Caenorhabditis elegans: one gene and its partner. The protein of the gene in region 2 purifies or fractionates together with the protein of the main gene of each other region. This does not show direct contact. Each region holds a gene or a part of one and is shown on either strand. Other genes may lie near its edges.

Region 1 (3,678 bases), on a different chromosome or scaffold from region 2:
GGCTGGAACAATCACAGTACTACATTACTCGAAGACGAAGAGAACCCGAATGTTAAGTATTGAAAAGTACTAGTGAACTATTGACACGGTGTTAGTCACATCTGACATCGAGAAAATTCAATATATTCACAGTCGATTAATTTATGAATTCAAATAAATACACACAGAAAGAAGACTGAACGATCTTGAAATTGTAGAATACACGTAGCAGTGTAATTATAAAAATAGAGGATTCCGGGATTGGGATGGGGGAGCATGGAGAAAATAAATTAAAGAAATGAGATGATTTAATTTTGAGTGAGAATCTCGCGTGCCTCTTTGCTGACGATTCCTTCCATGGAGTTGACATCGTTCCTCCATGCGGAAATGCGAGTCGCCATTTGCATTATCTGAAAAAAAGAAAATAAGTATTTTAAAAACTTATAATCAATTCTTATACCTGAGGATTATCTAAAACTCTTGGCTGCACCCATGTCACGTAGACAACTTGCTCAACTTGATTGATATCTCCACGAATGAGATCCTTGCTCAACGCCTTCATCACCAAGAACTCAACTTCGTCGAATGGGATCTGGCACTTCGTGGCGATTTCTTTGAATGAAACGCTTCTGGCTTTGGTTGGACGAGAGACTGCAAGTTCCATGACAGCCATCAGACGGATTTTGGCAGTCAGGAAATCCTTTTGCTTCTTCAAATCGTCCCAGCCTCCCCAATCTCCTTCGAGCGAGAAGAAGCGCGTCAAATCTCCCGAATTGAAGGCAAGAAGCACGTCCACGATCCAGCGTTCACGAGTTCCTTCGAGCGATTTGAGGATGGGGTGAGCAAGCTGAAAAAACCGTTTATTGGGGGAATTTAAATTGAGAGTTTCAACAAACCAATTCTCCGAAGTTGTGCACGTTTTCTCCCAGAAGAGCAGCGAAACCGAGAAGAACCGCATGGACTTGCTTCTGTTCTGTTGTCAGATTATTGGCGTCCTCAACTCCAAGATAACGAAGAGCTTCGCGATAATATCCAGCGAAGTCTCCAACTTCACGAAGATATAAAGATGAGACGCGGTAGAACGGGGCATGAACTTCTGTAACTCCGACAAGTGAGTCCACTTCGTGTTGTGTCGAATCGATTTGAGTTCGAATGCTCTTCAGATCAATAATCTGTCCATTTTTGTCCTTGTTCTCCAGTCTGGCTTCAATCTCTCCGGTATGAAGTCGAGCAACGGCAATCTTGTCCTTGTTGATGACGTTTCCAATTTTTGACAGGAATTCCATAGATTTTTGCTTGTCCTTTGTCGCGATATTTTGGGCGATCGAAATGCAAATCTCGACGAGCTGAAGAGGGTTGACACGCAGCTCCCACTCCGCCACGAACAGTCTGTAGAATTCGTGCATGTCCGTTGAAGCCACAAATTGTGGCTTCTTCACAAGGGATCGTGTCAGAACCGTTAGTTGATGCCAGAGCCTGAAAATTAGTGAAATAGTTTGTGTCTACAAAAACAATTGATTCTTACTTTTTCTCCCAGAGCTCCTTGAGATTCTTCCAGTCATCGGCCAGAGGTCCATTGGCAGCCGCCAGCTTTCCGTTGAGGTAGTCTTGAGCAGTCATCCTGAGAAATTCTCGATACATTAAAAATTGAGACGAGAAATGAGTGAAGAAGAAAGAAAATGAAGGAGTAGGAGCAATCAAAACAAAAATGGATTTCGAATAGCTAAAATGAACATTTTTGGCGAGCGCGCTCTCACAAAAATCAAAACAAAAAACTTTTTTTGAATTTTATTTGTCAGCAATTAAAGGCGCATGGCCTTTCACTTTGGAAATATCGAGACGCGAAAGACAATGTTTTCGGTCACGGCCATATGTCTGCGTCTACAGTCTCTTCAACATATGCGATAGGGCGCGCTTGCAACAATTTATTTTTCTTAATTTATTTTATTGTTTTTTAACAGAAGATATTGTTTTTAAAGTGCGAACACCCTTCTCGATTTATCCGCCAGCTGGCAACACAGCTTTTCAGGTTTTCCTTCCAGATTTGTGTGTTTTCTTCTTGGTTTATAGCGAAATCTGATAAAAATCGCAACTCTGAATAAAAATTATGTCAAACAAAGGCGTTGCTGTAAAATTGTGTCCATCCAATAGATTTTCCTCGCTTATTCTCGTATTATCTTTTTTCTTGATTTGCAAAAAAATGATCCAAGTATTTCGAAATTTCTGAAAATTCCGTGTTGTTACACGTCACATATCCTATCATTCGTTTTCTTCATTATCATCTTTTCTCCCTTTCACTGCAACGCTTCAAAATTAATCTCTGGTGCTTCGTTCTTATCTTCCGGTACTATTTCAATGTTCATACTACTTTCTATTGATTACTCGTTCAAAATTCCTAATTGTTAGTTTCTTTTTTCAGATGATCTCTCGATTTACAACGAGTTTCCTTTTATGGATGCTTCTGGTGTTCACAGTGGTATTCTTCGAAACTTCTGGTAAGTTTTTCTTTTGATTATTTGTTTCAATAATACAAATGAATTTCAGCGGCCTCTGACAAAGTTCTTCTTCGCGATGTATCAGCAATTACTCTACACAAAGGAAAAATGACGACAGGACGACGAGTTTCTCCAACCTTCCAGTTGAAGTGTGTCGGTGGATCCGCGAAAGGTGCCTTCACCCCAAAGGTGGTTCAGTGTGCAAATCAAGGTTTTGATGGTTCGGATGTGCAGTGGAGATGTGATGCAGATTTGCCACATGATATGGAATTCGGATCCGTTAGTTTTTTAAATATTTCCATCTCGCTTCAAAAAATGTTTCTTGTTTCAGATCAGTGTTTCATGTGAAGGATACGATTACGCAGAGGATCCATACATCCTGAGAGGATCTTGCGGGTTGGAGTATGAGCTCGAGTACAATTCTGCGAGCGGTAACAGATCAGTTTCTCGAAAGTCATCCCAGGATCGATGGGATCAGTTCGCCACGTTCGTCGTCGTCGCCTTCATCGCCTACATTATCTACGCGATGTGGACTAACAGAAATCAGAACCCAGAAAGCTCTGGCTACACTTCTGGTGGATCAGGAGGTCCTGGAGGCCCAGGATCCGGCGGAGGAGGTGGTGGTCCAGGTGGTTATCCAAGTGCTCCTCCACCATATGACGACTACTCCAAGCCACCGCCATATGGGTTCCGTGGTGACTCGCAATCTGGAGGTGGATGGTAAGGAATTTTAAATAAAAATGACCTTATTTTCATTAAAATTAAGTTTTTCAGTCAGGGAAGTTCTAGCGGAGGAGCAAGTGGCAGTGGCGCCAACAATGGTGGATCGTTTTGGACTGGAGCAAGTCTAGGAGCCATTGGAGGATACCTGGCATCCAGCTTCCTCAACAATAACAATGCCTACGCCCGTCCACGATACAACAGAGGATTCTTCCAAGACACAGGCTTCTCAAGTTCCGATTCCTGGTCATCACCTTCTACTTCATCAATGCGCTCAAGTTCTGGTTACGGTGGCACCACGAGACGATAGTTTCCTTATTGAGATCCAAGAAGTACGGGTGCAAACAAAACTAGTTTTGCTTTTTCTTTGTCTTGTCCATCTTTTCGATAAAATCGAATGTACATTAGCTAGTTTAAAAATCGTCGTTCCGTTTATTATCTGGCATTGCACTAACGAATAAAGTTATAATAATTGAAGGCGAAA
Region 2 (3,910 bases):
CAAAACTCGTTAAAGATTGAAGTAAATGGGATTTCAAACACAAGAGTATATGTAAAGACTTATATTAAAAACATTACATCAATAAATTTCATTAAAACTTCAAACCGGAACATGAATTAACGGCGAACAAGTCATTTTTGAGGCAATAAAATACTGTATTGGAATAATTGAGATGAAAAAGAAACAAAAAATTGAATAGTCAAAGAGATTCAGGATATACAGATCAATCTAAAGAGCCATTTCCTCAACACGCGGAGCAGGTGCAACAGCCGGTTGCAGATATTTCTTGAGACGGCCAATCAGTTCTGGATCAGCTTTGAGTACTTCGGCGCTCTTTGTATTCTCCGACAATTCAATGATTCGATGAATAATTTGACGTTTGCGAATTTCGTATTCTGGATTATCTTCTGATTTATCGTCCAATGCCCAGTCAATGAATCTGAGAAAAAACAATTTTAATAAAAAATCTCGCATAAAAATGTCGTTAACATACCCCTGGAAAGTGATGAACTGATGAACAACTGATGGATATGTGAACAACTGTTGCCAGAAATCATAAATACAATTCTTCATCTCAGGGAACGGCTTCTTAACATTTCCAACTGCTACATGTGTCAATGCTTTTCCACCGAGACGCTCGTACCATGTTTCAGCAATTTTTTCAGTCGCTGAAATTATTAATTTTCAAACATTCCACATAACTAAATAAGCTCACTATTCTGGAAAAGGAGAGTGACGGCCTGAAGAGTTCGACACTTCAATTCCATTGTTCCCATCGTACATGCAGCACCAGCAGCTCCCAAAGTATTCTCAAGATCTTTTGAATCTGAAACAATATGATTTTTAATATCTTGCTTTTGAAAAATTTGGAAAATACCTTTGAACATATCCTCCAAAGTTTCTTTTGCCTCGACAGAGAAGCACATACTGGCAAAATGATCGAAAGCTCCAAGACGACTGACCACACTCAATTGATCGAACATTCTGATTTCGAGCATGAGACGCCGTGCAAGATCAGGGAAATATTTAAGAACTTGTGGGTAGGAACGAGCCATATAACACATGAAACGTGTTCCGTCTGTTGATAAAAATATTGTTAAATATTAATTGAATGAACTGGTAACTTACATAAATACATTTCCCCACCATCTGGAGACTCCTTCGACCATTCCATCAACTCATAAATCTAAAGGAATAACATTAAAAAAACAAATTTATTGCAAATTCAAACCTTTTTGACGATTCCCAATTCGTACAAAGCCTCTGCATTCTGTTTTCCACTAAGTGCAATATCAACGAAAGTGTCCAAAGCATCCAGTTGAGCAAGAACATCTTGAGTATCTAGAACACTTTTAAGAATCTTGTCGTAGAGCCAATGAATGCATGAAGTGTTAGATGAAATGCGAGCTCGTTCAGTAGCAATCTGAACAATTTTTCAATGAATTATCAAATTAAGAATTCAAATAATTACGGAGTAAATACGACTTCTAATGGATGAACTTTCTCTTCCATTGGCAACACTCAGCTGCGATTTGAGCTCTTCATTAATCAAGTCGTGATCCACGAGGTGTGCCATCAGACGTCCAACTTCCTCTCCAGCTTCAGCATCTGTAACTCTTCGAGCAAATGCAACTCCAATTGCAACCGATGATGACTTCAAAAGGGAAATCGCTCCTTCCTTCTCACGGACTGTGCGGACTACATGGCGAAGAATATTCGGATGTGCAGATGGAATGAATTCGAGAAGAATTATCTGTAAAAGATTGAGATATTACAATTTTTATTAGAATTTTTTTTTATTAGATTAGAATAGTCTAAAAATTGATGTCAGGTACCTGATGATCGACAAGAAGATCTTTGGTTGAAATATCTCCAATAATCAATTTTACAAGCTTGCTGGTGCTGAAGTCATCAAAATCAGCAGCGGCCACGTCATCTTCTGTTCTGAAATAATTTCATTTTGATACTATCTGATATTCATTTAACGTACTCCATTTGCTGAGCCGCTTCAATTTGCATCTTTGCAAGTTTTTCCAGAATCTCCCATCCCTTTTTCGAACTGCGTTCTGCGATGTAATCGTTTCTCCACTCCTGAAAAAAATTGGCTTAAAATTGGAAGAAATTTCAATAAAACCTACTTCGATCAGTTTTTCATGTTCTTCCAAACTAGCCATCTGGAACGAATACGGTAGGAGGTAAAAATATTAAGCAAGAAATGAAGATAAGCTGGTAGTTAAACCATCATAATTTTAAAAAAGAAAGAAAGACATATGGAAAGAGCATGGAATTTAATTGAAAGTCGGTTTTACCCGTATCAAAAAAGAAGTTAGACAGTGAATTTTCAATAAAGTACAAATGTTAGATAAGTATGTTCAAATAAATAACTTAAATTAAATGTTAAAGCTATTTAACTGGTTTATAATGTAGAAGAAGCTCTCCACTTTGCTTCCAATAGAGATGCTTGACTGTTCGCAAATCCATATCCGGCTCCAACCTCTGATCATTGCAGTACATTTCCATTTTTGTATGAATTTGATTTAGTGGAATCGAGCCAACTGTAATATCTTCAAACACCATTAATATCTTCTTATTTCTAAATACCTTACCATCATTAGTGCTGAGTATTTTTTCGTAAACATGCTCCATCACTTTCTTAACTTGAAGCATTTCAGTTGCTGACAGACGATCTCTGAAAATAGTTCAAAATTTTAATGAATGAACCCCGCGTTTTCACAAACTTTTTAGGCTGTTTGGGATTTGTCGACGGATGTGGAAGAAGATAAAATGGCATTTTATTGAATTTCGGCAGCTGATTTCGTTCGATTGCGTCTATAACCCACATGGGTGCAATTTGTGCCAGCTCATTTGCTTCGAACTCCTTCCCAGCGTCGCCAACAAGAAGACGGTAGAGCGGACGACCATTTCCTTCGCTGAAATTAGTTTTTTTAATGTTTAAAATTTGAGCCTTCAAATAATTTTACCAAATAATAAGCGGTGTGTGTTCCGGTAGAGAAATAAAATTCAGTGTTGCTTTTTGCACATCATCTGCATCAGCTGCATCAACATTTGTCATTTTACAAGGTGGCCATCGTTCGAAGAGTGATCGTAGCATCATTCCACCGTAATTCACTATAATTTCTTACAAAGGAATGAGAAAGTTTTTATTTTCGTATAATATCTTACGTTTTGTCTCTCGATCATTATCATCAAAACCTGCGTCTTTTGATGAAAGCCACGAGGAGAGAGCGTCCAGCTCGTCCAAAGTGATTTGGAGCATCTGAAATCGAATAGGGTTTTATTTTTCAAAAATTTATAAAACTTAAAACTCACTCCACTTTTTGAATCAACGACAAACCAGCTTGGAATGTATACTTGCCTAGAGTTCTCATCGACAACTTCTTCAAATATTCGCTTTCCATAATCTTTTATCTGAAATTTTATCAAAATTCAAGTAGTAACTTTTAATAATGGGGACAAACCTTTCTTGCTGCTAAAACATCATATAGCGCCACATTTCCATCCGAGTCTCGTGTCAAAACGTGTCGTTTGTCGCTCAACATGGCATGTTTCTTGATGGCAGGAGCGCCTGAATAAACAGATTAAAAATTATATCTGCATATAGTCTGTTTACCAGGAATAACGAGCTCTGGTGTGCTCTGTTGTCCTTTTTGATCCTTCACTCGGATATACTTGAATGTTACTGGAGGTGATGATGAAGCTGATACTGAGTGATTTGCATTTGAAGTTGAAGGACCATCTTCGTCTCCTCCAATCGAAAGTTGGGCTGATGGGCGGATGGACCAGCTGAAAACTGAAAGTTTATTTTTTTAATAAAATAATTCTTTTACCGCTTGATATCAGACTTCCAGGTTCCGACCCAAAGAGATACTGGATTATCTTTTTCACTTAA

Evidence for each region. Proteins that work in one complex are often made in the same cells at the same time.
Region 1: the proteins of F35G12.12 (region 2) and rpn-9 fractionate together in Caenorhabditis elegans (co-fractionation; one large-scale study listed by BioGRID). This does not show direct contact.

Annotation. Positions count from the first base shown.
Region 1 is NC_003280.10:11,237,320-11,240,997, forward strand, and holds rpn-9 (26S proteasome non-ATPase regulatory subunit 13), read right to left. Parts: upstream 1,601-3,678; 5' UTR 1,600-1,600; coding exon 1,505-1,599; intron 1,456-1,504; coding exon 876-1,455; intron 827-875; coding exon 440-826; intron 390-439; coding exon 288-389; 3' UTR 128-287; downstream 1-127. Other genes in the region: T06D8.9 (Store-operated calcium entry-associated regulatory factor), read left to right, coding at 2,399-2,474, 2,524-2,753, 2,806-3,194, 3,249-3,504.
Region 2 is NC_003281.10:4,580,059-4,583,968, reverse strand, and holds F35G12.12 (26S proteasome non-ATPase regulatory subunit 5), read right to left. Parts: upstream 2,175-3,910; coding exon 2,139-2,174; intron 2,092-2,138; coding exon 1,991-2,091; intron 1,945-1,990; coding exon 1,836-1,944; intron 1,754-1,835; coding exon 1,472-1,753; intron 1,424-1,471; coding exon 1,232-1,423; intron 1,187-1,231; coding exon 1,129-1,186; intron 1,079-1,128; coding exon 878-1,078; intron 827-877; coding exon 716-826; intron 669-715; coding exon 494-668; intron 440-493; coding exon 229-439; 3' UTR 76-228; downstream 1-75. Other genes in the region: wdr-48 (WD repeat-containing protein 48 homolog), read right to left, coding at 2,404-2,689, 2,739-2,930, 2,982-3,129, 3,184-3,277, 3,331-3,429, 3,480-3,586, 3,632-3,804, 3,849-3,910.